Lepisosteus oculatus: one gene and its partners. The protein of the gene in region 3 interacts with the protein of the main gene of each other region in a pairwise test. Links are inferred from orthologs where the notes say so. Each region holds a gene or a part of one and is shown on either strand. Other genes may lie near its edges. The genes, in order: fgfr4, pdgfra, erbb2 and ezrb.

Evidence for each region.
Region 1: the proteins of erbb2 (region 3) and fgfr4 interact in a protein complementation assay, tested with the Homo sapiens proteins (2 studies listed by BioGRID, with this or other methods). The link is inferred for Lepisosteus oculatus from reciprocal best matches to the Homo sapiens genes ERBB2 and FGFR4.
Region 2: the proteins of erbb2 (region 3) and pdgfra interact in a protein complementation assay, tested with the Homo sapiens proteins (2 studies listed by BioGRID, with this or other methods). The link is inferred for Lepisosteus oculatus from reciprocal best matches to the Homo sapiens genes ERBB2 and PDGFRA.
Region 4: the proteins of erbb2 (region 3) and ezrb interact in a protein complementation assay, tested with the Homo sapiens proteins (2 studies listed by BioGRID and IntAct, with this or other methods). The link is inferred for Lepisosteus oculatus from reciprocal best matches to the Homo sapiens genes ERBB2 and EZR.

Annotation. Positions count from the first base shown.
Region 1 is NC_090706.1:39,850,113-39,858,023, reverse strand, and holds the start of fgfr4 (fibroblast growth factor receptor 4), read right to left. Parts: upstream 3,011-7,911; 5' UTR 2,186-3,010; intron 1-2,185. UniProt on the Homo sapiens protein: Tyrosine-protein kinase that acts as a cell-surface receptor for fibroblast growth factors and plays a role in the regulation of cell proliferation, differentiation and migration, and in regulation of lipid metabolism, bile acid biosynthesis, glucose uptake, vitamin D metabolism and phosphate homeostasis.
Region 2 is NC_090696.1:78,516,369-78,523,465, reverse strand, and holds the start of pdgfra (platelet-derived growth factor receptor alpha), read right to left. Parts: upstream 3,012-7,097; 5' UTR 2,734-3,011; intron 1-2,733. UniProt on the Homo sapiens protein: Tyrosine-protein kinase that acts as a cell-surface receptor for PDGFA, PDGFB and PDGFC and plays an essential role in the regulation of embryonic development, cell proliferation, survival and chemotaxis.
Region 3 is NC_090723.1:5,670,406-5,677,740, reverse strand, and holds the start of erbb2 (receptor tyrosine-protein kinase erbB-2), read left to right. Parts: upstream 1-4,335; 5' UTR 4,336-4,550; coding exon 4,551-4,629; intron 4,630-7,335. UniProt on the Homo sapiens protein: Protein tyrosine kinase that is part of several cell surface receptor complexes, but that apparently needs a coreceptor for ligand binding. Essential component of a neuregulin-receptor complex, although neuregulins do not interact with it alone.
Region 4 is NC_090697.1:44,087,923-44,095,907, forward strand, and holds the start of ezrb (ezrin b), read right to left. Parts: upstream 3,022-7,985; 5' UTR 2,882-3,021; intron 2,797-2,881; exon of another isoform or gene 2,705-2,796; intron 2,172-2,704; exon of another isoform or gene 2,070-2,171; intron 1,819-2,069; 5' UTR 1,723-1,818; coding exon 1,711-1,722; intron 1-1,710. UniProt on the Homo sapiens protein: Probably involved in connections of major cytoskeletal structures to the plasma membrane. In epithelial cells, required for the formation of microvilli and membrane ruffles on the apical pole. Along with PLEKHG6, required for normal macropinocytosis.

The DNA of each region.
Region 1 (7,911 bases), on a different chromosome or scaffold from region 3:
ATATGCAGGCAGCCAGAGACAGGACAGCTGACTGACGTTCTGCGACATTTAGTTTCACTTATGATCAGCCACTATGGAGAAAACAAGTCTTTTCTGGAGTATTTTCCTGTGTAAGAAATTCACTCCAAACATGCTCCAGGAAAGAGCTGCTCCTAATGGCCATTTCTCCAGAGAAACTGTAAGTTTCTAAACTAAGTTTCTCACCTAAAACACACCCCAGCACCAAACAGACTGCACACTGTTGATGTTTAATGAAAGAAAACACTGTGAGAGACAGTCCGTGCATTGTGGCGTACGGCCGATCATCTTTGGCAGCATATTCTCGTTACTGTGCACTTAGGACTTATATACTATATAAATAATGTAACCACACACCTCTAAAATCACGAATCACAGGGGGGAAAAAACACAGATTAACGCTCATTTATTCCGATATCTATGCTTTCTCTCGCATTTTGCTAACTGCAAGTCGTGTCGGGTGTTGCATGGGAAAAAAATGCCCTTCAACACCGCCGAAGAACACTTTCGCCTCAAGAGTGCTTTGTACAGTTCACAGCGGACAGACCCTTCGGGACAGCCGGGAGAAGGCCACGGCCAGCGCCTTTCCGATCTTATCAAGGGAACACAACCAGGCTCGGTTCACTTGTCGCAACTGCCATCTGTCTCACGTCTGTCCCGCCCCGCCCTCCCATCACAGCGCGCAGAAAGTGCAGTTGACTGTCGCTCCCTGGCACCAGCCGAGGGCTCGGAGGGGAGCCCGAGAGCCGTTGCCACGGCGACACGGGCTTGGAAAGATGGGGATGGGATTCTTTCTTTTTTTTTTAATCCAAGGAGTACCAAGTAAACAGCGTTAAAAGTGCGAGGGCAGACCCCGGCGATTAGCGCAGAAGCGTCCGGTGTGACTTGTTCCAGCTACTTGGCCATCGCGTGTTTCGATAAAATTATGCGACTTTTTTTGGGGAAAAAACAATGGCTTAGAATCAGAATTCGTGTCACTTTCGCATCATTTCATTCAATGCCTTTCAGGATGTCTCATCGTCTATGGCCCTGATATCGGGATATTGTATTTCAACACTTCAACCCATCGCGTTACGCTCACATTCGCACGTACGCTAACCGAGACCTAGCTCGCAGTAATAAAAAATACCGGAAACTCAACAAAGGTTTATTCTTTTTTTAAAAAAATAATTTTTAGGCGTGCCAAGGCAGCTGAAGTAAACCAATGGTAAAAAAAATGGTGAGTCCACACTTCACGTGTCTCGGAGCTACAAGAGAGAAAAACGCAAGCGACCGGAGCCCAGCTCTACAGTACGTGACTCGATGGTCAAGGTAACACACAGTTTTGTACTACTAGCCCAGGCTAAATTTAGCAGCCCCCCCCCTCGGTGACTCTGCATCCACCGTAAATCAAAGGCAGGGGTCCTTTTAGCTCTGTTCCTTTCCAACTTGTATCTTTGGTTAAATTTTAACTACTGCGCAAACACTGGATACCGAGTCCACTGCCTTTTTAAGTCACGCCGGCTGGCGAGTTTAGAACTGGCCTCATACCGACTACCTTGTTGGGTGTTCATTTCAATTTAACTCGTCCTATTAATTTATTTTTTTCAAATCAACTCAGGTATTCGTTTTCATTTTTACAGCGTATTGCTCTTGGACATAGAAAGGACGCGCGCAACGTTTGTTTCATACAGCTCGAGTGATTGATTCATCCAACTACGGGACACGCACCCGTCTAGGGAAAACGACTTTTTTTCCCACCTCACTTCTGTTTTTAGAAACATCTGACGAGACAGAGAGGCAGAGATGTCCAGAGAGGTCGGTAAGCACCGGAGTCTAGAGAGACTGCAGCTGCGGTGTCACCGGTCTGTGGAATTTGGTTGAAACTCCAAAATTAGCCGGAGCACTTGAGACTTCGCTCCAAACTGCCGAGGAAACCTATAATTAAACACCAGCCCTTCTGCAACACAACTAGAGCCCCCACGGGCTGCGTAACTGGTCGGGGAGACGCTTACTTGCGAGCGCACACACAGTCGTCATTCTCAAAAACGAGAATTAAAAACACAGCGAAGAGGCACCTCGCTCAAAGCCCTGTAATAAACATCCCTCATCACGAAATAAAGTCCTAATTTTGTTTCAGAGCTCATGTTTCACGGAAAGGTGGGAATGGTTTAAGATTTGTAATTACCTTGCCTCGGTATCTTGGGTTGTTGGCGTATCCGCGAACCGATGAGTCAATAATTCGATAAATCACAATTCCAAGACATCGGGGAGATGGATCCCCATTTAGGACTTGGGTCCCGAGTTCTGCGGCCTCACCCGAGCTTCGGGTACTCAAGTGTTCCTCCTCCGGGAGAAAAGAGCTGCACGGATTTATCCCCAAACACTACGGTTTAGCTTCTGAAATTGCGAGTCCCCGGAGGCACTGACACCCTGGTACTGAGTGCAAAGTCCGAAACAAGTCCAGCGTCCTGGCTGTGTTTTCTCCAGACCGAAATAATAAAAAAAACAACCGATTCCTTGTAGGTTGAAGCAAAAAAAAAAAAACACAACAGCTTACAAAACACGCAAATTCAGGAGTCAAAAGCCCCAGCAAAAAAACATAGCAAAATCCATTACAAACAACAAATCCCCGAACAACATTTCCTCCTGCCCTTCTCCGGGATTCTCGCTTGTCTTCCGCGGCTCCGCTGAAAGGTGTTGATCGTGTAGGCTTTCTGTTTTTCACCCCTGCTGCAGGACTTGGGACGTAAATAATTTAAAAAAACGACATCGACTGCAGCGACGCAGCAGATGCGGAGTCTGTGCACCGCTCTGCTCGGTATCTCTTCACTAATGGCTCGTCCGGGAGGAAGCCAGAAGGTCCAGGGTTCTCAATTAGCGACTCTCCGGTTACAGCGCAAAGCCGCTCCGAGCATTTTAGTACTGATAGTAGCTCCGGGCAGTGTAAGCACAAGACTCGCAACAATAGACTTAAAGGAGAATGAGAAAGAGGAGGGGGGAATGACTCTCTTACCCTCCCCCCGAAATAATTCCCTCACAGACCCCCCTCGCAGCATCCAAGCGCCAAATCCAAACCTAAGATGTGCTGTGTGCACAACGACTCTCATTCACTCGTCCGTTTTTAAAGCGCTTCTTCGGAATGTAGTTGAGAAATGTATTACCCTTTTTTTTTTCTTAATGAAAGCCAGAATACAATAGTTGCTGCTTCTGAGCGACGGTAACTTTGGAAATGAAGGCCGAACGGACCAACAGCCCGGGCCTTTTCTGCTTGCAATTTAGAAAAACAAATGTTGGCAATAATGCATTTATTTTCTTACTGAAACGGAGAGAAACAGCGTTGCGTCGGATATTCTATAAAATGACGGTAGAATCCGAGACCACAATGGTTAATATTCGTTCCCCCCAAAGATTTAAGTGTGTGTTTGTAGTCTTAAAATAGTTCTGTGCCTTTTTATCATACCTGTACAAGCAGTTCATGTGTTGTATGTACACTGTATACAATTCACTAAAGCATGCTTGACACTAATAGCACCCATCATAGGCAATTGTCCTACTCCTAAACTTCACTATTGTGGACATCCCTGCATTTTATGCAGTGTGTGTAGTTTTTATTTTAAAACGTTATATTGTCGGTCAATTTCTCCGTTATTGTGGAGAATGATTTTACCAAAAAAAAAATCCCCATTAGCAGATTTTTGCAGAACCCGGAGTAGGTCAAAGCGAAGTCCGTCAAACCGATCGGAAGCTTCTTTTATTGGTAACTTCAGACTTATTAAGCGATGAAGTGCTGAATCTGAAGGTTCGTGTATGCATCACGCCTACAGGCCGTTACCGGTATTCCACACACAGAGCTCGTCGTTTTCTGCATTTCGTCACTGTTTAACTTTTAAGTTGAATTTGTAAGTAACATACAGCAGTACAAAGTGCCGCACTGACGACATTATTGACCGTCGAAAATGTTATTCTACACGGATAATCTCTTTCGTGCTCATTTCCGAGCAATCCATTCTTTTAGAAAATCAATCTCTAGATGGGTGGTGTTTAATTTATGTCGTATCTTTATCGCTGTATCTGATGGATTTCAATTTTGTATTTCATTTGAAACAAAAACACTATAGGTTTATTTTTTAAATCTGAATCCTACACTATATTGCCATTCTTGTAGAAGTCACTCCTATTACAAAAACCCTAGAAAATAGATTAGGTTTCCAACCAGTGGGTCAGTACACAACATCAGTAACCTTGCAATTGTTCCAGGCTCTCTTAGGAAGTGCAGTATACTGCATGTTGTCTTGGGAATTAAACTGTTTCTAAGTCAGATTCAGGGAGAGGTCCTGTTGTATGTACTATACTGAAAGACTACTTTACGTACAGCAGGACTCATCCACTTTTTGCTTTCTCCAAAAATGCACTAGAAACTGTCCTATGTGATACACAGCACTTGTAGCAAGATGTGACTGACAGTGAAATGAAATACAAAATAAAAGTCAGAAATTCTCAGGGTCTCCAGGGTTAGCCTATGACTAAGCCTAAGACCTGTGCATTTTTACTCTTTATTTTTGACTGTCACCTCTCCCTCAGTCACTTTGTTTTTAGATTAACAGACCAATGAATACACAACCTTTACCTTGAGCAAATACACACGGCTGTTTGATCCTGTCAGACATTCACACACAAACTCACAACGACTCTCTTGCTGTCCTGCTTGACTGCCTGGTAAATCTAGTTCACGAGTAATGATAGGAAATCAAATCTTTTAAACATCTGAGTGAGTGAAGAAGTGATTTGATTTCTACCACAAAAGCCCATCCTGTCCTGAAAGTTTGCTCTGCCCGAAGTCGGTAATATGAAGAAGCCAGCAGCACACAGAAAAGCAGAGAAGCATACATTATGGGAAACCAACTGACTGGTATTGAAACAGCGCTGGCACATCCTTTGCGTTGACATGAATCACTCCAAAAACACTTTGATGTGGGGTTGGTAAGTGGAATCTGTTCGGAAAATGGTTATTGTTAATCGTTAGATTTTGTTATTGTTGGCTGATTTGAACGAGAAAGCCAAGCTGTCCTTGTTTTCATACTCATGTGTTATTTTCAGCGTTGTTCCCGGGTCTCGAGATTGGTTTCGCGTGCTGATTAGAACCTAGAAGGACCTAGTGAAACTGGAAGCAGACATAAAAATATGAGTTTCAGAGTTTCTCCTTGGCAAGTTTCTTCAAACGATCTTAGCTGGATATGAACGATTTTATCTAACAGCAGTATGCCAAAGACAATCCGTAATAAATCAACTCGGTAGATTTATTATAGTATTTTCATTCTTTTGCCATGACATTATCTTAGTTGTGCTGTGGTTGCGGTGGATGTCTTGAATTTATAGTAGGCCTTCGCTTTGCTGGCGAGGCCTTAGGAGCTGTAGGCTACTGTAGTAAACATTATTCATGGTCATTGTTGGCTCAGAACATCTCACCATTCCCCTGGTCCAGAGTCGTAGACTGCAGTGAAGACAGAACCCGAGCAATTCTCAGCAGAGCTAGAGTGACTTCATGCGAGAAACACAGCAAAAGCATAAAAGCACTGCCCAAACAGCTCTCAAAATCGCACCAATGAAGGAAAACGGCGAGGATTTCTTTAATTAGATCAGTGGAGGCAGGGTTATAATTGAACTGGTGTGAAGTGAGAATGAGGTCCTACCTTTCCCGAGCCTCGGGGAGGGGGGGGCGATCTAGCTTGAGACTGGGTTTGTTTCCGAAGCCGAGGTGGTGTAGGGCTAGAAGCCCACACTGCCTCTCAGAGGTAACAGTGATACAAGCCTCTAACCAGCAGCACCCACCAGAGTTTCCGCAAGCTAGATGTGGTGAGCAGGTCTGAGGCCTTTGCCAATAATTTTCTGCATGAGAGGGGAATATCTTTCACTCATCAGAAACAATGGTGTCATGGTGTGGCTGACTGCCAGTAACCACATTCTCTCTCCAGCTTGCGCTGTACCTACTTGCTTTGAACCACGCTCTGAAAAGGATATGCAGATTCCTCTCTGTACCGTATCAGCCTCTAAAATACAATCGCATCGTGCCCGGGACGCATTTTTATCAGATTCTGAACGTGCCCTTGTTGAGAATCTGACACGGTTACCCAAACCAAGATTAAAAAGCAAACTGGTATCATTGCAATAACATATCCGCTTCTACTTTTGATGCACAAGTTAAAAGTTGAGGATTTTGGGAAAGGCAGAGAATGACTTTCGCAACTGCTTGATTGATATGTCCTATGTTTTTACAGCAGAGAAAGTGTTGAAAAGATAACCTTATTTCTTACATTTCAAAGAGTAGAATGCAATGTACTGCCAAACCCATATGAAATACCACAGATGAAGCCAAACATCAGTTATAAACACCACCCTTAAATTTCCTGAGACTTCCGTTACATTGCAAAACTGTAGTCGAATACAATGGATATTTTATTTGGAATACTTTTTATAAGCTTGGAGATCTGTCTTAAGACTTGAAAGTGGTGTAAGGCAACATTTTTCCGTGGAAGGAATATGATCACCACATATAACTGAGCAGTGCGCATGAAAGCGTTACTACAGTCGCCGCAACATTGAGAGCAAATGCGCTCCGCGTTCTTTTCACGACAAGTTGGATATCCGTTTGGTAGTGTGATTTTACACGGCAAGCTGCAGAGTAATTGGTTTTGTTCTTGTAGAGGGTTTTACAGTGATAGGAGCTTCCTTTTTAATCTTGGTTTGAGTAATTGTGTCAGATTCTAAAGCAGATTTACTACATCAGAATGATGAAAGTGCTTGGATTTTCCTTAAGACAGAGATGTGTTTCACATGAGGGGTGTTGGGCAAACCACTATGTAGAAGGAGCCGTACTGGGAAGGCTGTGCTGGCTCGTGTGGGCTGGGGGGGGGTGCATGGTGCCGATTGCCTGAAATTGATTAGTGCTGCTCTGAATTGGAGCAGTAAATCCCTCTGGATAATCCAGGTATTCCTCCCTGAGCCTCCTTTCTGCAGGCTAAATCCTTCCCAGCTGAGCACACACCGGCAAACTCATTTCACTCACGCCCACATCCGCACAGCATCCCCGTTACTAGAGAGTCTTCTGAAGAGACCTGAAAAAGCGAATGTTGGAACATCCATCCTCCTCCTCATCATCGTCCTCATCTTCGCCTTGTCCTCCTCCCGGCGGGAGTGCAGCTCCGAGTCTGACCAGAGTTCGGCCAGGACTCTCGGGTCCCTTGGCGGAGGACATTTAGGTTTTACCCGCCCCCCGCCAAACACACACACACAATCCCCAAAAACAAAATCCCCTTGGCTCGGTTCACGCAGTTGGTATTAAATCACACAATCAGAGCCACAACAATCCCCTCCTCCCTGCTCTTCGGATTCTACACACTCCACAATCCCAAAGCCAGCCCTTTGTTCCAGCTGCCTGAGTCCGAATGCCTCATTAAAGCCTATTATCTGTAGCTCTTCTGTTTTCCAGTGTATACCCTTCCAGCATTCACCCGGCTCAAAAGACGAACTTTCCTTAAAGCTTCACTTTGCCACCTTAATTGCTGGGCTAGGTGGTTATTGCACCGTTTTCTTTGAGCTTGAAAACGAATGGCATCAGCGCAGGCTGGTCTGATAATGACTCGGGCGATGCAATCAATTTTATTTTGCATGTGTTGCCTGCCCTTTGTTTCCTTTCACAGGTTTTCTGATTCACACCCAAGGTTAACCTGATGTACTCTGCCTTATAAATTAACCGTCTTTTGCCTAAAACAGAAGTTGAGTGCTTTTCTGAGGCTGATGTGTGATGCCACAGTAGTGATGATAGTTAATTTTGAAGTCCCCCAACATGATATTTTCACGTTATCATTTCAGAACACCTCTATATATGAAGATCCAGAATTGTAATGTATGTAT
Region 2 (7,097 bases), on a different chromosome or scaffold from region 3:
TTCCACGCATAACTCTGCTTGTAAAAATGATGCCATTACATTATAAATACCAAGAGAGGGCGCTGCAGCACGATATTTGTTTACCAGGCGGAAGAACAGAAACGTTACAAGATTTTGACAACACATTTTTACATGATGCATAAACTTATTTTGCAGTGTTCTGAAATGCCATTTTAGGCGGTAGATCAACGATCAAACGATGTGATATCTAAGTAAATACCTAGGGCAATAAACTTAAGAAAACGTTTAATAAATGGCATAGATGTCGTACCATTCATACAGTCGACCTAAAATATTTCCTTCATTTCCTACATCTTAAGTGTGAAATCATAAAACACGAAATTAAAACGCTACATCACAAATGTGTATGAGCTTTTTGTCAGCTGAACTCATGTTCTAAAGGCTGTTATTTTTTACTAAAGGCTACATCTATTGTAACCTGTAGTGAAAGGGCAAGTAAGACGAATATTTAGTAGGTTGAATTGGTCATGTTGTAATGTCTAATTATGATGAAGGAGGCTAAGCTAATGCTTGAATTGCTGGCTATCCTTGTCCGATCCTGAAAGTTTCTGGTCCAGCCGGAGCGGCGGTGTCTGTGTTTCATCAGTCCGCTGCGAGAGCCCCTGTCTTCTGTCGGGCTGCGGGACGAGACGCCGCACAGACTGCCCGCGCCAGCCAGCACAACACCTCACCACGCTTTCGCCTGCCTGACGCCCTCGGTCGGTTTTGTTGAACGAGTATTTTAATGTTAAAAATCAAACTCATTTAATTCTAAAACAATTTTATGTATTTTAAACGCTGCTTATTTTGGTCACATTAACTGATTCGGACACGGGCATGCATATTTTATTTTATTCATATGAATGCCAGAAAATAAGATATAATTTGTTGTTGTTGTTGTTGTTGTTGTTGTCGTCGCTCCTTTAAGGTCAAATATCGTTACATTTACCATAGGGAACACAAATCCTGACTTTTTACGTCTGGATTTTGTCATGAAAATGATTACGATATCGAGCGCATTAGAAATTTGGGAAATGTCCGACACTCTCCGTTTGGAGTTGAACTTCGTACTAGAAGTTTGCGTGTATTTCAATATAGAGCAGCGTATAACAATTTCGTACAGAGCCCTCGGAGTAGAGCATTCTGCACACAATGTAAAATTTGTTCAGAAAAAAAAACATGAAGTCCAATATTAATTTTATTCCGCATTTTGCCGTTTAAGAAATATGGTATTTTGTGCAGCTGCTCTTCAGATGAGCGCAAAGAGAATAATTAAGCTTGGCAAATCCCGGGGTGTTGAGAATTTAATGAAAATACTTTTTCTTAGTGCATTTTCGTCCGTCAACCCCTCCCCCCCCCGGGAAACCTGTTTAAGATTCCTTCAATGTGACAAATATTTAATTAGTTTCGACAATTTCGGTACAATTTGCCATGTGGATATAGTTATATTTTAATGAATAGATTTCATGAATCATCCGTGAAATACTCATGGAATCGCAGTCACGATGCCGGTAGAATATGGAAAGGAATTCCCGTAAGACTCCCGTCTTCTTCTGCGTTACTATAGGTAGACTAACGAATTTAGGAACAGCCGCAAATTTCTCCCAAGTCTCAGTTCTTGTCCTCAAAAGATCATAATAAACTGATTCAATTCGTTACTCTCCACAAAGCCTTCGCTGTTTAATTGCATCCCAGACGTGACAAAAACATAAAGGAAGGCAGAGTTTTCAAACCTGGACTCCCAAAAGACGGGAAAAAACTATCCCCACCATTCGTAGAAGTTGAATTAAAAAAAAAGCGAAGACGGAAGAAAATCAAGAGAATTCTTCAATCTGACTGTAAAAAAACAGAATACCACTATTTACAGCGGAATAACGAAAAAAAAATAGAATGCGTTTTTTTTTTTCAGTTAAACCCAAATGTTAAAACACAGCCTTTATAGTTGCATTTTCCAAGCTTTAAGTTCCCTTTGGCTTAATGTTACTTGGTTCCAGTTATCCATTCCAAAAGAACATCCCAAACGAACCTTTGTTCCATAAAAAAAATGTTTTAAATTCCATTTGCGGGACTTTAATTTACTTCACATCCAGTCTCAAATGTGTTTGCCATGACAGCCTGCAGCGCATCCCTCAGACCCAGCGAGCCTCCTGATGTGAATCGTCCCACTGTGAAACAAGAGATCGGGGTTTTCTCCATTTCGCCACCCGTTTCCAGGGGATCTTCTGCAGTGCTCCAGCGGACCGATGTGGAGGAAACATTATTATCCGTGTAATGTTGAATGACCTGTATTCCGTCCGATTATTATTATTTCAAAAGTATTTTCTGCTTTTCGGAAACCTTCTCGTCTTCATGATGAGCCTCTTCGGTTTTTTAGGATTCTGCATTACATCCCATTTCAAGCGGTACGCTAGTTTTTGGAGCTTCAAAAGCCTGCGGTTCCCCGCTATGATTTTAGACAATTCATTAGTTAATAGTTAAATTAAATTACTAATTACAAGGCACATCCTAATTGTAAAACCAAAATGTGCATTTGCTTTGATTGAAATTAAAAGGTTGCTTTATTTCAATAAACCAACGCGTTCTGACTAACAAAAAGTATACGGATTATGATAACTCTTTAATAATAATGTGCAATTAGTTAATTAAATAAGGAAGAGGTTTTTAGAATCGATAAAATGGACCCTTTAGAACCGCAGAGGTTTGCATTACCTTAAAAATAATAAGTTACAATACCTTGTAAATTCTCTTTATTTCCTTAAAGAAAACATTGACTGGATTACAGTCTCATGGATGCTTGGTTAGATCCAGTGATCTTCTTCCCGAAGGTCTCGCTAGCTGTTTTCAGAGGTAATCCACAAAGCGCAATCCACAATCCAGAGCGGTCAAGAGAAACTGATGTGTGCCCTGTACCTCCTGCTTCCACGGCTGAGCTTAGTAATGGGCTTCAAGCACAACGACTTGTAATTGATTCAATGTAACAGTCCATCCTTCCCCAAAAAACTAATCATCTGCCTTAAAGTAAATAAGTATCAGGAAATGAGCCCCCCTCGGGTCGCTTTCAAAATAAGAGTCGGAGCTCTCACCGTCATACCGAAACGGGAGTCGGATTTCGCTAAACTTTGCACTTAAAACTTTTTACACAGGGAGGAGGGCCATAGTACTACCAGGAAAAATCGGTCTCTTCTTTTTTTTTTGGTGGGGGGGTGGAGTATAAGACTTTTTTGGAGTCCTTCTGAATCAAGGCAAAGTTTACATTCATATGAAAACAATTGTTTACCCTTGTGAGTGGCATGCTTATATGTAATTTTATTCTCCAAAACGTAGAGGGCTTGGCTTAGGCGAAAATTAAAGATGATAAAATGGTCGTGTGACAAATTATAGTGAATTTTTAATTTCAGACAAACTTGTTCGACAGTTTTACAATTGACCCATTGTTAAAAATATTTAACAATCTATAAATCCGAAAGCAAGTATTTTTCATGTTTAAATGCACTCAAGCAGAGACAGACGGTATTCAAAGTTCGTCTCGGTAAAACTAGCAGGCAATGCAAAAATGTAAAACAACGCGTCCGCACAGCCTAGAAGAACAAAAAATACAGCATTAAGTATAAGGTGGACGTGAGTGTTTTTTTTTTGTCAAACACCAAATCTCTGGTGTGTCGCCTTCAACTGTAGAATTAATCCCATATGTTGCTATTACAATTCGTGAGGGCAGAGGGCGCTGGAATATCAGGGAAAATACAAACTACTAAAAACGACCTTACAAGCTACCCACTTCTTTCAAAATTACTTCTGTTGTACTTCTGTTTAAATTTCTCTCATTTATTATTGGTTTCCGGCTGATTCATAAAAATACACAATGTATATAATAATAAAATAAAATATAATAAACATATATTTTAAATTTTCGTTAATTTCGCACCAAATTCCATTCCTTCTCTTTACTAATGCAAAACCCCGGAAAGAGGGCGGGGAAGAGCAATTAGAGCAATTAATTCTTGCATGTTAATTAAGGTTTAAATGAATTTAAGCCCAAGCGCCCTGAATGAACCCCTTTACAGAAACCGAGCGGGTCCCTGTCTCCCGCCCTTTAGCCATTGCACTCCCGTCGCCTGTAGCTCTGTGCCGAAGCTGCATAGATCTTCCACTCTAAAAATGCAGAGCCCGGCTATTACTTCCATATGTTCCCCGGAAAGGCAGCTATGAACAGTCCCTTGTTCTAGATACTAACTGGGTACCGTATTATTTCGAAACTAGTATTGCCTGGTAATATGTTTTTTTAAGGGTATGTTCAAATCGGCATTTTAGGACTTTGTATTTTTGATCAATAAACCTAAAACATGAACAAACCATTAAGACAAACAGCTCCATACAGACTCCTTCCAACCTGCCTGTTTAGAGTCAAATATATCCTGCACATTTGAAAAAAGTCGAACGTCTACGATAATTAAATTGCCTTAAAACATCTGATGCTGATTACAATGTTTAATTATAAGTAGCCTATAAATAGCTAATGTGCACTGAGCGCAGGAGCGCATGCAGAGGGTTATAAATATAGAATAGGGGAGGAAGTGTCACACGTGTCTTAAATTTGAATATTCTGTCCCTTTTTCAACAGTGTGATTTCCGAACGAGCAAAAACCCAGATGGGACTGTGGCAGTAACTCAGATATTGATTCATCGTTCAGATTGGATTGAAACATTGTGGTAAAGCATTTGGACAGAAAACTTTCTGGAGTTGCGTGCACAAGGAGATTACATTTTAAAACCAAAACAATGGGGAATTACTTATAAGAAGTTGTAAATTGTAAAACTTGCATAGTTGTAAGTAGGCGTTCAAGTTCTGATTAGTAGCCGTCTCTGCAAGTATGATTTACTTCTATAACAATTACACGTCCCTAGCCAACTCCAGAAATACCGCGAGTCCTTTAAAGTTGAAGATTACATGGAATAACCTGTTTATTCTTCCAGATCTATTTGTATTTTTTTACAGTAGCCTCGGGTAATTTGGAAATCCTCATCGAAAAGCCTCGCATACCCTTCTGAGTGTGCACAAACTGGACAGTGAACAAACATCCCCCTTGCCAGGACTGTAGTCATGAAAGGTTTAACGAAAATGTATCACCGACAATTTTGTAAAAAATATTAACATACAAAAAACATTTCAAAGCACAGAGAAGAACGCCTCTGCTTTAATCTGTGAATGTTGATGCATAATTATTTATTTATTCGCGTTGATATGGACGTTTAGCCTTCGCGATGTCCCATAACGATATGAGTGTTAATGAAAGTTCTGTAGGAATGACAGCACCCAAAGTCACCCTCACCTCTGCTGCTCCAACTCGTACTTTTCCATGACGTCACTTCCCGAAATACTATAAGTACAGTCGCAAGCCTCACTCTCTTGTGCGTATTAGTCTTTCTGCATCCTTCCTCTCTTCCCTTTATCACCTTCCAGTTTCCCATTGCTTCATTCTTTCTCTGTAGAGCTCCTGATTAATTTTCTTCTTTGGAGATGCCGTTTCTGCAGGACACAGGGTTAGTGGAACAGGCTTGATGAGTCCTGGTCAGATTGCGAATCTGATACTTTGCAGCTTTCATTAACTTCTTCCTGACTGAGGTTCACAAGCGTTTACGCCTTCTGATAAATCCGTTGGGGTGCTGAGCACAGGATTGCTCGCTGGGAGAAAATGTTGCTGCAATTAGCTGGAAGGTGGAGGCTGAACTATAAAACGTGCGGGTGTGGTTATTAACACGAGTGCTTGGAGTTCTCATCCTTAGTAAGCTTTCGAACAAGTGCTGAAACATTAACTGGAGAACCTTAAAAATGTATAATATGAGATGAATGTTCTGGCTGCTGTATTTTTAGTTAATTGCACGATTTCCCCACCGCCTCACCTCTCTCCTCTGGCCGAGCATCTTGCCTGATGGCGGAAGAAGTACCACAGAGGCACAGGATTCAGACTCCAGACTCCAGCTCAGTCTGTGGCAGTCTGCCTACATGTCACCTTTCTGATGGCCGTGAGGTTTACTCATGATAAGAGAGGGTACAGTAGATCTTAGTGCAGCCAGCAGGGCTGCTGTATTTTAATATCTGACAGACCTCTCCAGACATCTACTGTCTAGCGCTCAGCTTCAGGTAATCACGTACTTGGTGTGCATTTCAATTGATCAGTCATTTGCACAGGAACAAGTAATAGGTTTATTCCCTGCAGAAAAAAAGAAGAAAGAAAACACATTTCAGCCGTGGAGCCTTCTTCAGGTGTGAGCACCTCTCTTCTTTTTTTCAGCATGGAATAAACCTATTACTTGTTCCTTTGCAGCCTACACATGCTGACGCAGCTGCCCACCTGAACTACTACAGTCATTTGCACGTTGTGAATGTTAATAAGGTTACAAACGATTTAAAGTATATTACACATGGGGTATGCTTGACACTGGAGTAATATCTTCTCATTTTAAAGTCCCTGGACACCCTTTCTATAATGACACCTGAAGAAGGCTCCACACCCGAAACATGTTTCTTTTCTTTTCTTTTTAGCATGAAATAAACCTTTACTTGGCCTTCTGCATCTTTTCTATAATTAATCACATGCTTTCCCTTGGTGGAATACACAGCAAACAGTCTGCTGTTAATTCAGCTCTGAGCGCTAAAATATTTTAACACCAGTTTGGTCACTTTTACAAAATGTAGCTGGAACCCCTCTGGTGATTTGTTTATCTTAATGAATCTAAACAAACTTGGACCTCTTTAGCCTTCAGACAGCATGGTACCATGGCTCTCTCCCTGTGGCAGAAGCTCCATAGATGATGGGTCAAGGCTGAGTTTGGCCCAAAGAGCAAAAGGCAAACAGACCCCAGTGGTGGCTCAAAGCAACCGATACAAAAATGCAGCAGCATCGTTTCTAAACCCTCAGGATCAAACTGAATTAACTGTCATTGGTCTTCTGATAAAAAAACAACCCTCTTTTCAAGACTGTCCCCAAGACTTTTCAAATCAATCAGTGTGGTGACCGAGACTCTGCACAGCAGGAGGTGCCGTGCTCCGGGCAAGAAATTAAACTGAGGTCCTCAATCCGCGATCATCAAAGATCCAG
Region 3 (7,335 bases):
TCAAGCTTTACAACAGACAATTCCAGTGCAAGTGTGTGCTGGCTGGGGTAAGTGTGCAGTTCAGCGCTTCAGTGTCCTTGAGGAAGTGTGTGTCCTTGGGTGGACAGTGTGTGTTTGACAACTGAGATAAACTGCTTTGAACTGGGAGACAGGGAAAACAGACATCTTTGTGCAGACTGTGAGCAATTCAGTGTGTATTGTTGAGCAGTGAGGCTGCATTGGTATATAAGTCTATGTTGGAGTGTGTTCGCAGGATAAAATTAGTGGTGAACTGTACAAAGTCTGCTTTTTTAACAGAAAAAAAGGTATTCTCTCATTTCTTTGGGGGTGGGGGCAGGATGCAGTTCACTTTGAGGACTTTGCAGTTATACTTTGTACTTGGTGCAGCTACATTATACCTTGTAATTGCAAACTGTTTTAACAGAGTTAAAGTCCGTTAAATTCATACAACCGATTGTGCAGAACAAGGTAACTAGTATGACCCTTTCTTTACATACTAACCTGTGTGCTCACAAATGCAGAACACTGCCAGTTTGTCCTGGGCAGGTGATATGTCTGAGTTGTGTGATTGTATGTGTGTAGGCTGCTGTATCCCTGGGAACCCTGTGATTGATCTGGGAATGTGTGTGTGTGTCTGTCCCTTGCTGTCCGGGATCCTGAATGCTTGTGTTTGCGGTGCAAGAGTACGTCTCCACTAAGATAGTAGGATGATAGATGATGTGGATAAATCTAGCAGCTTTCAGATACAGAGAGAGAGTGAGACGGTGGACAGAGAGAGGGGGGAGATTTAGGATTGAGTCAGGGGGGCAGGATGGCAGAAATTCGGACTGACTCACTTTGGAAGGTGGAGTGGAGAGGATTGTTTCCTGCATACAAAACGTGTCAACTTCCATTCCGTTTTGACGGCCACAAACCTTAAAAGAGCAAGTGGGCGTCCCTGCAGGTGTCCCCAGGTCTATATATATATAAATACCCGAGCCCTTCCTAACCAGTTGGCATGCCACCAGACACTTTGTGCTCCACAGCGCCCCCTCTCTGCTACGTATGCACATTGTCATTTTTTTCTTCTCTTTGGGAATGATGAACCTGTATATATCCAGTGTTGTATCCAAAAAAAAAGGAGCTTTAAAATGCAAACGAATGAGAATCCAAATAAATAGTCTTCTGTTACTTCAGCTGCCATTTTTGTTGTGTTTTTTTAAAGTCACAGCACCTTCCAGGAGTTCGTCTTTCTCTTAAACTTGTTGTGGGTGTTGAGGACTTGTGTGTTGTAGTCCTGCAGTATCAGGAATGACCAGGGCACAGTGTTGAGAGGCACGAAGGTCTCGGAGAGGGCATACACACACAATACCGGTCCAGGAGGAAAGAGATTGTCCACATCTTGACCCCAGTCCTTTTCTCTGCTGTGAAGAGAGGTGGGTAGCCGATATGGTGGCCACCAATGACTGGCCTTGTTCGTATCTTACAGACAGTACAATTCAGGGGTGTGGGTCAACACTGTTCAGGGGCCTTTTTAAAGTAAAATGAACTTGGTTCCCCAGTTTGCCTTATGAGTTATCACCCATAGTCAACAATACTTAAAATGCGTCCTCAGTGGTCACTTTCTTGGGGTGGGGACTGAATTGCAACAGTTTAGCAGGGGCTGAAAACAGACCTGACTGACGTGTGAGGTGTTGTCTCCCTCCATTTATTTGTGCACTGAGTTTAAAAACAAACCCTAGCACCTCATCGCCAACGTGTCATGTTCTGCCAAATAACTAAATATATTAATGGTGTGCTTTGTAAAAAGAAAACCCCTACAGACAAGCATCCTTTCTTTAGCTTTTGGAGTATTTTAATGTTTTCCCTGTCTTCTCGTGTTCTAAATCATACATAAGTAAATATTACAACACCAAAAGGAATTTCAACCAATTCAGTGGAATAGAATACATATAAAAAAACACGTCTTCTTAAAACACACTGAAGTGCATGAAGCACCCAAAAAAAAATATTTTTTTTTACAACAAAAGTCTTGTTCACGCCGGAAATGGTCAAAAACCAAACAAATATGATTCTACCAATACCTTTACGACGCTCTCTTTAACTGAGGTAATCACCTTTTTGTAAAAATAACAATAGCTATAAAAAAAAGGATCTTAATGACCCTTCGTAGCTGAGTATTACAGACTCCGATGGAATTCGGGGGTGTGCTGTAACATTTGTAACATCATTTAACACTGTAACTAACGTGTAACATTTGGGAAGTATGACCGTGGATCTGTACAGAAAGATATACACATATTTGACCAGGCGTTATGGTGTTTTGAGAAAACTGTGCCGAGACCGCTACCGTTACAGCTCGGACCGGCGCCGTCGCCCGGCATCTCCCACCCACCCGCGAGCTGCTCGAGCAGTTCACCGTCACTAACCCCCCCAAATAAAACTTCAAGAGGAGGTGCCGAGCGCTGGCCAGCTGAGTTGTTTAGTCTGACTAGAAAGTGGAAGTCAAGGGAATGTCAGCCACAGGGCAACGCCGAAAATGAGCAACTTGTCTCCTCCCCAAGCCCAGCGCTGCGCGAAATCGACGCTCTGTCCAAGCGCTCCGGCCTCCAGCTCGGTTTTTATACCTCCTCGCTAACAGTAACGATCATTGCCATCAGTTTGATTTTTTTTTGGTATAGAAAAATTGGAGGTCTTTTTCCAGATAGCCGAATTTTATTTCCCATGCCAGAATGTTTGAAAACATCCTGATCAGAAGGTTTCTTATTAGGACAATCATACAATAATACATTGCAGCCTGATTGTCACGACAAAGCCGAGTAGGTGGATAATTGATTTAATTACAATGATTAGGGGAGCTCAGATAAATCTCGGTAGATACTGTATCCGGTATTATCTTTTTTTTTTTCTCATTCTCTTAACGATTTATTTTCTGTATATTACAGGTGCAGGCAGACATTACCTAGACAGGTGTCAGTTTTCGCAGTGCGAAGTCATTTTTTCACCTTTAGCCTAATCCGCGTCTCAGGCCACAACTATATTTCCACGTAAGAGATTTGTCACAGACGGGCCGTGATCCCTCTCCTTAAACCCATCTGAAAAGACCACCAATGAGCAAGAGATGTTTAGAAATCAATACTCCCACGACAGTGCGCGAATACAATACCCCAAATTCACAATAACTGTAGTCAGAAGTGCGACAAAACTAAGATTTCTATACAGTCCGGGGTGAAGAACTGCAGCCCGACTGTTTCGTAAAGCGCTCTCTTTTGAAAACGGAAAAAATTCCAGTTTGTCAGCTGTGTTCGGGTTGTCACCCCTGACACCAGTCGGGTTTATAATGAACTCTCAGACAATGTGGTTTATTATTAGCTGTACAACATCTCAGAGCCGCCTAACCGCCGGAACGAGACAACGGGTGTCACTGGGTGTAATATGATACAAAGAATGACAAACTGCCGCTGCTCGCAAGCTGCTGTCAGTGTAATTGAATTTTAATTAAAAAAAAGTAACGCAAGCAAGACATTTAAATGGAAATTCCTGGTGCCTGTAAAACGAAACGCGAGGTCTGACATGGGAGGGGTTTGAACTGAATTCCATTCAGGGTGTGAGTTTTTAACTTATTATTTTTAATGTCGATTAAAAAGAATCTTGGGTCTGCGAGTGAAAAATGTCAGTCCAAAGACTAAGATATAGGGCAAGCTGCCATCATTTTTGCAAGAATAGAAGAACTGCACCGTCTAACTTGTTCAAGACATTTTGCTGAGACGTACGACGATTAGAAAGTTGTTAGCCGTTTGCACCTTGCTCGTTGGCATACACCGGCGGGCAGTTTCATGACAGGAGAAACAGAATGGGAGCTTTGTTTCCTGATTAACGCTAGAATAACAAGGACTATTCAGAACAGTCACCTATTAATTTATCTAAGCCGGGAAAACAAAATCAAACATTTAACGCGATACGAACGTCGTTATGATAGCTGGGTGAATTAATTCAAAAATAAGCGATATAAGTAAGTTCAGTCGCCAGTGCAGAACAAATGCGCTTGTCTGCATATCAATAATAATGATAATTTCAGATACTGTTTTGCGTGGGCGGCGTGCACAGACTAGGGAATTTGAACATGGAATCCGAACATTTGTAGCACCCGATTAGCAGCTCGCCCAGTCTCTGTCCCCGTTTTCGGAAGGGTCTTTTTTCCTTGCTGGGGTTCCTCTGCCCAGTCAGAGACAGCCGGACAGGGAGAGAGAGGCGGACACGGTGCCTGCACCAGCACCACCACCACCAGCAGCAGCAAGCTGAGTGAAGTGTGAGGCGGGTCGGTCTCTCGGCTCAGTTTCAGCTCTGCCACTCCCAGCACGGGCCCCGGGAGCGCGCTGCGCGTCACCCTCGCCTACCAGCCACAAGGAAGGGATACAGCGAGTGAGACAGGGAGTAGGAGTGGGGAAGTGCTGGGATATTGTTTTTGAAATCGACAAGGAAGGAGAAGAGGTTCTTGGAGACTGCCCGTTCTTAAGTTTCGACTAAAACCGAGGCGCCCGGTGCTCGCTATGGAGTAGAAGCCGAAGGCGATGGAAACGCCGTGGAGAAGTTTGCTGGTGTTGCTCGGAGCTGCGCTGGTCGTGACTGCGGGCACACGGGGCAGGGAAGGTGGGTTGACTTTGAAACTTTCATTTCTCTTCAGGGCCACGAGAGACGAGAGAGGGGAGGGAGAGAGGGCAGGAAACGCGGGGGGAAAAAAAACTCTCGGGGGAGACTTTGTGTCCCCTCGATTCACGTTTTCCCGAGCGTGAAACTTTTCTTGCGCGACTCGAAAATAACTTTCCAACCCCCAGCCGCGTCGCGCCGCGCCGCTCTCTCCCACATTCGGTCCAATTCGTGGGGACTTCCCTGGATGTGTCAGTGCGATTTCAGGCGCGATTTCAGGACGGCTTGGGTGCTGTTTAAAACTCCGCTTTCTCGAAATATGTAAACACTATAACTCGAAGCCAAATACTTAAAGGAGGTGTGTTTGTGTCGGGAAGGGGAGTGTTAGAAAATACTCACGGCTGCCTGAGAACCTGCTTTGCGACTCTGAATGACGACACTCGAGTGGAAACAGAATAATCCTAATAGCGAAGAAGAATACCTTTCTGTAGTAAACAAACCCGTATCCCGTCGCCAGTATAATCTTGGAAACCAGTCCTGACACCTAATAATTACAGCCCCGAACTGCGGCGGAGATGCCGCAGAGAAACGCCAAGTTGTGTATTGACATATAAGCTAATAATAAACTAGCCGGGCTTCAGATTTGTGTGAAGTATCGATTTCAGAAACAATTGTATAAGCCTATTTCGAAATACAGACGTTGAGCAAACTTTGTAGTCAAATAGGCTATTGGCTACGGAATTTGAACTGAAACACTCCACATCTCCCCTCTACAACCCTCTCCAGCGATGCAGCACTCTTGTTGTGCTTGGGCACAGTCAAAACAAACTTATTCGCTGCTGATATCTGGTTCCAGGTTGTGCACAAGGCGGTGGTGATGTGTGTCATATTCTTCAAGTGAGTCTGTAAGGTGGCATTTCCTGTTATCCGTGAAATAATAATAATAAACTTTATTTTATATAGCGCCTTTAAAGGTGGCTTCTCAAAGCGCTTTACAGGATGACAATAACAATAAATAAGAAGACTACAACAATAATTAAGAAGATTTCACAAGATAGGACACAATTATAATTACAACAATACAACAATAACAATAGAGGAGACCGTGGAAGGTGGTACTAAGAAGAGCAGAGGGGTGAAGAATGGAACCAGTTAAGTAAAGGCTTTTCTGAAGAAGAAGGATTTGAAGGAGTTTAGAGAAGGTGACTCTCTAATATCCTTGGGCAAAGAGTTCCAGAGCTTTGCCCAAGGATGCAGTTGTTGAAATGCAGTTGTTTTCTTACTGACCGGGCACTATATGTGTCGGCTTTATTTTCCATCCCAAAATATTAAGCCTACTTTTATGGCAAAAAGTCTTTCCATGGAGTTGAGTGTTTTGAAACCTTTCCTTTGTAGAGACGGTTTCCACCATCTTTCCCTGTGGAGGCCTGTTCTGCCACCCTGAGCTCAGGCACTGCGTGAGCCTTTTTAACACCCTGGCTGTTGGAAACGCTGTAGTTTTGAAATCTCGTGCCCAGTTCTGGGTCGCACACTTCCCACTGGTTTTTCCCAGAGTCTCTCCTCCATGGAGATGCAGTCCCATTGGCACTTCCAGTTGCCAGTTGTTTTTTTTTTCTAAACAGCCGAATCATTTTTTTTCTATTTTTCCGTTTTTGCAACAGCCAACTTGTTCCTGTGGATAGAGTAATTTCAAGTTCCGCAAACCCAAACCCTTTTTCCCACAATCTTTAAAAATAGGTTTTAGAGCCTGAGAGTCTGTCGGCAGGATTCCGACGGGTTAGTTATGGGATGCAAAGATTCCCGCTGTCGTTCCCAATGCCTGAAGGAAAGCAGGGAAGTATCTAAACGGATTCTGGGCATAATGATTCCAGATGGGCTTCTCAGCACTGCGCAAGGGCGATTGTCTTCCCCTAAGCATTTTTCAGAGCTCCTTCTGGATGCTGAGGATGTTTTCAGCAGCCCTTTCCAGCTTCTCCTCTGAAGCTAAGAAGACTGACCCTCAGCTTCATGGAAGAAGACATCCTCTTAAAATTAGCAAGCGGTCATTTTTCAGCACAGAAGATGGTTATAATCTCTTTTTTTATGTGGCAATATCTTTTGCCAACTGGACTGTGATTTTAGCCTGCATTTGGCCAGTCCAGCATTGTACCAGACGAATTGGTTTCCCTCTGTTTTTCCAGCTTAAACTCTTCTGGTCTTTCCAGACGTAGGCTTCTATGTCCTGTACATGCCAAAAAACCTGGTGCTGGATATTTGCCAGGGTTGTCTTTTAATAATGGTTAAGTGGGTCTCAGAGCTGTAGATAAAAATATGATAGATGTTGTTTTCAGTCATGGGTATTTTTTTCTACAAAATCCTTCACCTAATAAATCCTCAAATGGATCAAAACAGATTTGCTTGGCTTGCAGTAAAGATGCGCACTGCCCTAGCTCTTGTGGATTCTCATTGGCAGACACAGTTTGTCACAACATTTGCACATTTACGCCACCAGCCACCTTTTTGAGTGACTTATCCTTGGCAGTTTGGTTACAGTGTAACGCCAGTAAAAAGGGACATGTTAACCGTCTCCTGTCCAGCAATAGGTAACCTATTGTTATTTATGCGTAGTGCTGCCTCTAAAGGAACTGAAATACCATTGCTTAAGCTTCCTTGTTTCCTTGTTTTCCTTCATGCGCTGTCTTTATTTTGCAGAGCATTGTTTCCTGGTGG
Region 4 (7,985 bases), on a different chromosome or scaffold from region 3:
GACGTCTCACAGCTATCAGTGATTCAAGATGTGAGGAACTACAGCATAGAACACAAAATCCATTCTGTAAGGCATATAAATGAGACAAATGTGCTGTAGGTTATTACTCCTCTGACAACAACTATTGTCATGCCAACGCATGTTAGAAAATGACAATTTAAGGACAAAAGAATAAGAGGCAGAGGTCACACTAAAGTTACTGATAAATAATATCACTACATTTATATTCTTGTTGGCTTAGCATATCATCTTTAAAAAGCAGAAACTCCATTTGGACCTAAAACTATTTTCATATAATTATTGGGACAAGAACAATTATGAGCACACATTCCTGCTTTTTCCAATAGAAGGCAAAAAGTTGTGGAATAGTTTTGATTTGACTGCATGAGATTAATCCCTCAGTTTAATTACTGAAACTACTTATGGAGAATTAGTAGCATAAGAGATTACACTCTGATTGATACAATGCCAGAACATAAATCCACTTTTTCGCACACATTTCTTCTTCCTTTCTCCAGATGGATTTGTCAATCACGTTACTAAGCATTTTGTTGAAGGCTTCTAACAGAAAGTACATACTTATTCATTTAAATACGTTTATTTAACTGTTCTTTATTTACCCATTAAATGCTCTCTGTTGCAACTTGAACAACAAAGAGTATTAAACTCTGATAGGGATAGCCTTGGTGTAATCAATTGAGTAGAATCTAACAAAATAAACTTATTTTTCATTTAATTATTTTCAGAATGTCTTGTGAGGATAAACACAAGATATTTCTAGATTCAGACAGAATATGAAACAAAGATCAGCCTTGTTTTTAGTTAAGTCCCTGAATGCTCTAGTTTCACTGAACATCAATCCTGTATTAACAACCTCTGCAATCTTTCTGAGGAACTGTCAGGGAATGTTGAACTAATCTGGAAATACTTCAACCAAAGCACACAGTATCCTTATCTCTACTTAAAGAAAAACAGGGCATCCTGAAATTCACATCTGAGCAATGATTCCTCATATACTGTACCTATGGAACCTTATTAAAAACAAGTAAAAACATTTGTATATGCAATATTATACTGAAATGTAACTTTAATCATGTAATATCAGTAACATATTAATGACATTAAATATAATATTAATTTATACTTTATAATAAGGCAATAAACTGTGGAAGGCAAGATGCTACATGATCTTAACTGGACTTCAGAATCCAAAGAAAAGCCACACATCTGGTCCTTCCATAAAATATTGCTCATGCCTTGCATACACATTTGCAAATTAGCTTACCTTTGCTTGTGTTGGCTCGAAATGTCCTTTAAATCACCGATCAAACCTATTTTGTCTCTTTCAGCTCAGAAATATAGAATATCCAAACATTATTCTAAAAGTCTAATAAATATGATGAACTATCTTAAGTCTTTTTCTATAAAGATTAAGTTGTTTAACTGCTTTTCTTTTATACTTTTCAATTTAGACATATTAAACATTGCACACATCTTGATACACATTATTATATAGCAGAGTTTCAATATTGTTTTCAAATAATTCATTGTTAAAAGAACGTGATTTAAGCTATAAACTTTAGTATATTAATATAAAGAGTATGACATTCATTGAAGAATATCCTAAATACACGGATATACAAACTCGTTTTTTTTTGTGTAATAAAATACGTTCCATCAGGGTATTGTTTGATAAATGAAAGTACTTACCGGCTTTGGCATATTCGGTTCCCTGTATGTGTTCCACCAGAGGTTCAGTAAAGTTTTCTTTCAATACTCTGGGCCAAACGCGGACGACTTTTCCTCCGAAATACTCCTCTTGAAAAAATGTAGAGGAATAAGTTTGAGAGACCTCAGAAACTATCAGAAGAAATCTGTTCTTCCGTTCAGCTTGTGTAATGTGACAGAAAATCAGGTAAACCTGTGGGATATACGTTTATGAATCATTATTAAGTATGTAACTCCTGATTAGAAACGGGCCTCACCCAAGTGAAAAAAAGACGTCCGACAGTGTGCAATACCACTAGTTAAAGGTCGCTCAGTCTCCACCCTTTTTGGTAAATACTTACCTCAGCACCTCCAAAGGTGTGACCCTTGGACGCACAGAAATAAATTCAACCAAATATATCGCCACCATTAATAAATGTAAGGGCTACCGTGATAGAAAACTTAAAATACATTAAGCGAAAACTGAAAGTACTCCGACGTCCTTGCGTTTTATAGACACACTGCTGACAATGTAACAACACGTACGGAGAAAGACTGAAGTGCAACTTCACAGGAGAAATGATTACCAATGGTTACTTTCGATCCCGTCCTTGAAATTCACAAGCTACAGGACTAAAAAGTGTTCGTGCTTAATATTCTATACAAGCAAATCAGCTTTACAATAATACATTTTCAATACGAAAGAAAATGTAAGTATCGATATATCCGTACATTTAGTTATTTAGGTTTATGCACAGACATACAGACAGATACTAGTAACAGATTTCTTTCACTTTTCCTTCAAAATAACGTCTTACTTAAAATGGCACGTATACCGTAACTTTTTTTCTCCAGATCAAGCCTGCGAGATAAATCTAAGAGCTTCACCTGAAGAGGAATACAATCATTTTAAGGAAAAGCCATCATATTTTAAACCTTGATGCGTCATTTTTTTACCCAAATGGTTGAGCAATTGAGAGAAAATAATCTGGTTTACCTAACCTTCAGCAGTTAGCCACAGCCCACAATAATCCCTGTAACACCTGTTGAGAGATTTCCTTTGAAAACCTAACAAGTGCAAAACAGAGCTGTGTAACATAACCTCCACCATCCCGCTAGACTTTACGAAAACAGTAAAGTATTCGCTTGAATATAACTTAATAAATTATCTTACCAGAAGCAGGTGTGATTTTATTAGAATCACTGACGAGCCGCAGCCTCGAAAACTCCCCTCCCTCGGCTGAAGTCAGCGGTACTGCAATATGGCTGACCCACTCATTCTGTCCTACAGTGCTCTATTCATTTCTATCTCCCTGTTCCTGGGTTCCTGTTTTGTCACCGCTGGGGCGAATCCAACAGCGACTCCTATCAGCAACAAGCTCTGACAACATCCGTGGAGCTCGAGAGAATAATTTAAATAAATAAATGAAAGTGAATAGGGAGACCAGAACACAAAGAAGACGAAGAGTTCATGCGGCTAATGATCTCCTACAGTGTTCTTAGACTATAGCCGGCAGACGTCTGGTTGAAATGTCTGCCTCGCCTACGGTACATATAAATAAAAAGTTACGACCGAATGAATGGTAACTTTAACAATCTTGAGGACTAAACTTTTCGCGAACTTTGAAAATGTAATACATAATGTCTTAAGAAAGAAAAATAAACGATGAATTCATCTGATATCGAGACGTGTGTGGTTTTATGCGTTTCTATGTGCAGCAGCTGGATCCAGGGAAACCACCTTACAATAAGGCATAATACATCTTTCACAAGTTTTTGCGTTTTATCTTGTCAAGATAGAAGCTCCTCTGAAACAAATGATGTTGTACACAGCACTATCAGTACAAGGCCTGTTTTAATTTAAAGGGCGGTGAGCAGTGACTTTCGTTGCCATGTGTGAATTGTTTACTCACTATAGAAAGGTAAAAATCAATCATCTCCAATAATCACATCAATCATGGCTGAAATAGAACGTGTCTGTCATGTCAAGAAATATTAGTTGCAATTATTAGGTTCATAAAACTAGAAGTAGTAAAGTAAACATACTTCTTGTGGTAGAAACAGCCACAATATGACTGATAATAAGAAACCCACAGGCAACGTAATACAGACTTTCACTGAATAGGTTATCTTTGTCAGAATTGTTAGTCTACTTTTAGAGGTGATAAACCTCTACCGTAGCTCAAATAACCATTTAGTGACCTGTAAACATAACAAAGGAGTTAATTTTTTCCTTGAAATTCCTTAGATTTCTGAAGAAGAAAATGTGATCATCACTCAATCCTTTCAGAAATAATTAAATGGTGCAGGACCTAAAAAAGAATGGTTTACACAAATGTTATCAAAATATATTGAATATTTACATATGTAAGATAGAAAACTACAAACCATGAGTATTTTCATGTTTAGTATGTTGATGTGTATTACACAAATACTAGAATAAGAAACTTCTAGAGGTTTATGTAAAACATCTGAGGATTTGTTAGAGTACCACAGAACTACAAACATTAGAGGATTAAAGCTGAAACATTTGTTGTCATCATATTTACAAAATATGGATAAATTTGAACTTTAGGCATTTTAAATTTTTGTTGTTATTTTTATAAGTATGCTTTTGATATATTTAGTCCTGCTTTTCACATCATAAGTGATGGGAAATCTTTGTGTACACCTCTGCTTTTCCCTTGCAAAATTAACTTGTAGTGACTGTTTATCACAGGTACAGTACATACTGTATGGAGGGTGCTATAAGTGGTCAACACTAATCTGTAATAAAGATGTGCAACCTCTTATTTTAATTATTGCTCAGTAACGTTTTAATTTTCTCCACACAGAGATTTGTAATCACTCTCACTGGTAAGTTAAATGTAAGTAAAATGTATACAAATACAGTAAGCTGCTATCTTATTCATATCCCATGGCTCCATTTGTTTCATTTTTTTATTTGAAATGTTTTTTTTTTCATGCTAGCTCATGTAAAACTCATAGGTTCAGTTTCTTTTAACAGTTGACAATGTACTTCTTCTATTCTTTTGCTGTTCAGACCTGTTTGAACAGTGGAATAGCTTGGATTCAGGAGTCCTTCTGTTCATCTTATCAGATGCAGGGTTTTAACAGAGTTTAAATCTAGATATCGGTTTGGTCATTTCACACTTTCATGCTTTACCCATGAACCACCCATGATCATCATCAGACAAGGTGATTCTTAAAAGAACTGCACACATTTACACAGAACTGCTTGTAGGGATTGTGAAGGAAAGGTTGGGCCCGAGAAACTACTATAATCAGTATGCTTATTTGAAAATTTCTCTTTGGCAAAATTTCCTCTTCCTTGCCCTTATACAGTAAATAGGCATTATATACGAACAACATACAGAAATATGTCAGTCTGTATTGGTTATTATACAATTTCTTATAATCATCCTTTTACCCAGATCTGTAAACAATATTATGCCTTTATCCAGAGATGATCACCCCCCGCAAAAAAATAAAATAAATTTTCACTAATAATGCAGGAGTGAAAACATATTAATTCTTCTTCATTCTAATGCTATATTTGCTAGAATATTGTTATCTTTGAACAGAAATGGAAAAGTTTTTGATAACATGCAGTGAACCTTTGATGGGGAAGTTGTCAAGGTGTGGTGGCAGCTTATTGTGTTCTCATTTTAAAAGGAAAGCTGTGTAAGTCAGGGAGGGCGTGTGTGATGCTTAATGAATCAGCTTGCGTATGACATATCTTGGTTTCTCTGATCACTGCTACTCTGTCTTCATTATTATAAAGGTTCAGAAACAGCATGTATAGAAATGCTGATATTGGTACAATATCTGTAGTTGTCTCTTAACTTTGTAGTAACATTTCTGCTTCTTATGCAGTAGTAATTGGATGAGCCCATACTACTGTGTATATGAAGCTTACCAGCAGCCAGCAGCCATATCACCCTGCAACTCACAACTGGCAACCCACTGAAGCTAAGCAGGTGTGAGCCTGGTCAGTACCTGGATGGGAGACCTCCTGGGAAAAACTAAGGTTGCTGCTGGAAGAGGTGTTAGTGGGGCCAGCAGGGGGCGCTCACCCTGTGGTCTGTGTGGGTCCTAATGCCCCAGTATAGTGATGGGGACACTATACTGTAAACAGGCGCTGTCCTTCGGATGAGACGTAAAACCGAGGTCCTGACTCTCTGTGGTCATTAAAAATCCCAGGGTGCTTCTCGAAAAGAGTAGGGGTGTAACCCCGGTGTCCTGGCCAAATTTCCAATTGGCCCTTACCAATCATGGCCTCCTAATAATCCCCCTCTATGAATTGGCTACATCACTGTGCTCTCTTCCCCACTGATAGCTGATGTGTGGTGAGCGTTCTGGCGCACTATGGCTGCCGTCGCATCATCCAGGTGGATGCTACACACTGGTGGTGGTGGAGGGGAGTCCCCATTACCTGTAAAGCGCTTTGAGTGGAGTGTCCAGAAAAGCGCTATATAAGTGTAAGCAATTATTAATTATTATTATTACCAGCAAAACAACACTTCCTAGATGCCACAGCACCTCTCAATTTTGGGGGAAAGGTGCCCCAAATGTGGACAGGGCTACTCTGCTTCTGGGTACAGAATAAATAACAGACAGGACACATGACAGGGTAACACACAACAATTTAAGAATACATGTATTTTTGGAAAGAAAAATGCATAATCCCATAAATGTCTCTGTTTGAATCTTACTAAGCATACCACACAGTGCACGTACATTCTTACAACATCACAAGCTGAATAGATTTTCTAAATAGATTTTCTAAAATAATGAGCAAATACCAAACCTAGACGTTCATCGTGTGATCGAAGACTTTAGTGAATCTTGACTTTATAGTGAGAAAGAATAAAAAATACTGTTTTTTCCCTTACCCTCTCTGCATACAGTTTCCAAACCTTTAAATGGTTTATATGAACTCAGGATTCAGTTTTTCTGTTGAAGCCATCAGCATATCCCCCTTTTGCATATATTTATATAGCCCAGAGGAAATTCAAAAAGATAAAGTGATTAAATGCAACCTTCAAGAAAAAAAAAAACAATTTTCAAGCATGTTTTTGCCTTGTGCATACAAATATATAATACATATATATATATATGTGTGAGTCTGGGGGCTTTAATTTCCATTCACACCTAAAAGATGATCTTTCCGTGAAAAAAGAATGAGCAATCAAAGTTGTAGATCGGTGAGAATCAATCCAGGTCCAAGAAAATCTCAGCCAACTGATAAGAATACCGCACACCCCTTTCACTGTCACAGATAGTAAAAATACTTTATAAAGACTTTTAATTTGATTTAGTTTATTATAATTAACAATTTTCTTTGTTGACTTCAGCTTTAACGGTATAGCCTCTTATTTCCAAAACTAGAAAATAATGTTTAACCCAATCATCCGGGTTGCTTTGACGTTTCTGTGGTGTATCTGGCTATCGCAGTGTGGCAGGGCGTTCTGCAAATTCATATTCAATAAACCTTACTAGCACAACAAACAGGATCATAGCAACACAACTTTTGATCCGTTAGCGAACTTTTTTTCTGCAGTGATGCAAGCGTCTATTTACACCCATACCACTGCGTTTCTAATTGTATTACGTGAGAGTTTCAAAGGGTTTGACCAGCAGTGCCTGTCGCAAATGCACGCCCATGACACAAAGACAGTGGAACTCTGATCTAGGTGGGGAGGTGTCGTAACCGGACATAGCCAATAGCAGTACAAGATTAAAATAGATCTGTATATATCTGCTGTAAATCCAGCAGCGCAAATTAGACCTGCCTGCAACAGGTTGATGAACGCGGGATGTACAGTACGCTTAGACTTGTGGTCGAGAGTTTTACTTGCACTCTGATCAAGATCAATGTTAATAAAATAGCGCCATTGTGTTTCGACTGGAGGCGCAGAAGAAAAACAGGCGATACGACCTAATAATGTAGACTACATTATAACGTGTACTGTAGGGAGGAGGAACAAAGGAAGGCTCACAAAACGTTTCCTTATAAAACGGTATCTATCGTGGGAGATCTATAATCCTTGTTTTATACAAATGACGAGCAACAATTGGGTATATTAAGCCAGATGAGCAATTTCATTTTATTGTACATTGCACTTGGAGTTTGTACTGTATACTGACAGTCATTGAAAACGAACAATGTGTTTTGGAACCAAAATATATCAGCATACAGTATATAATACTATATATAGATCGATTGACATAGCTGTGACATAATATAAGTTAAACAGACTTACTCTAGCACAGTC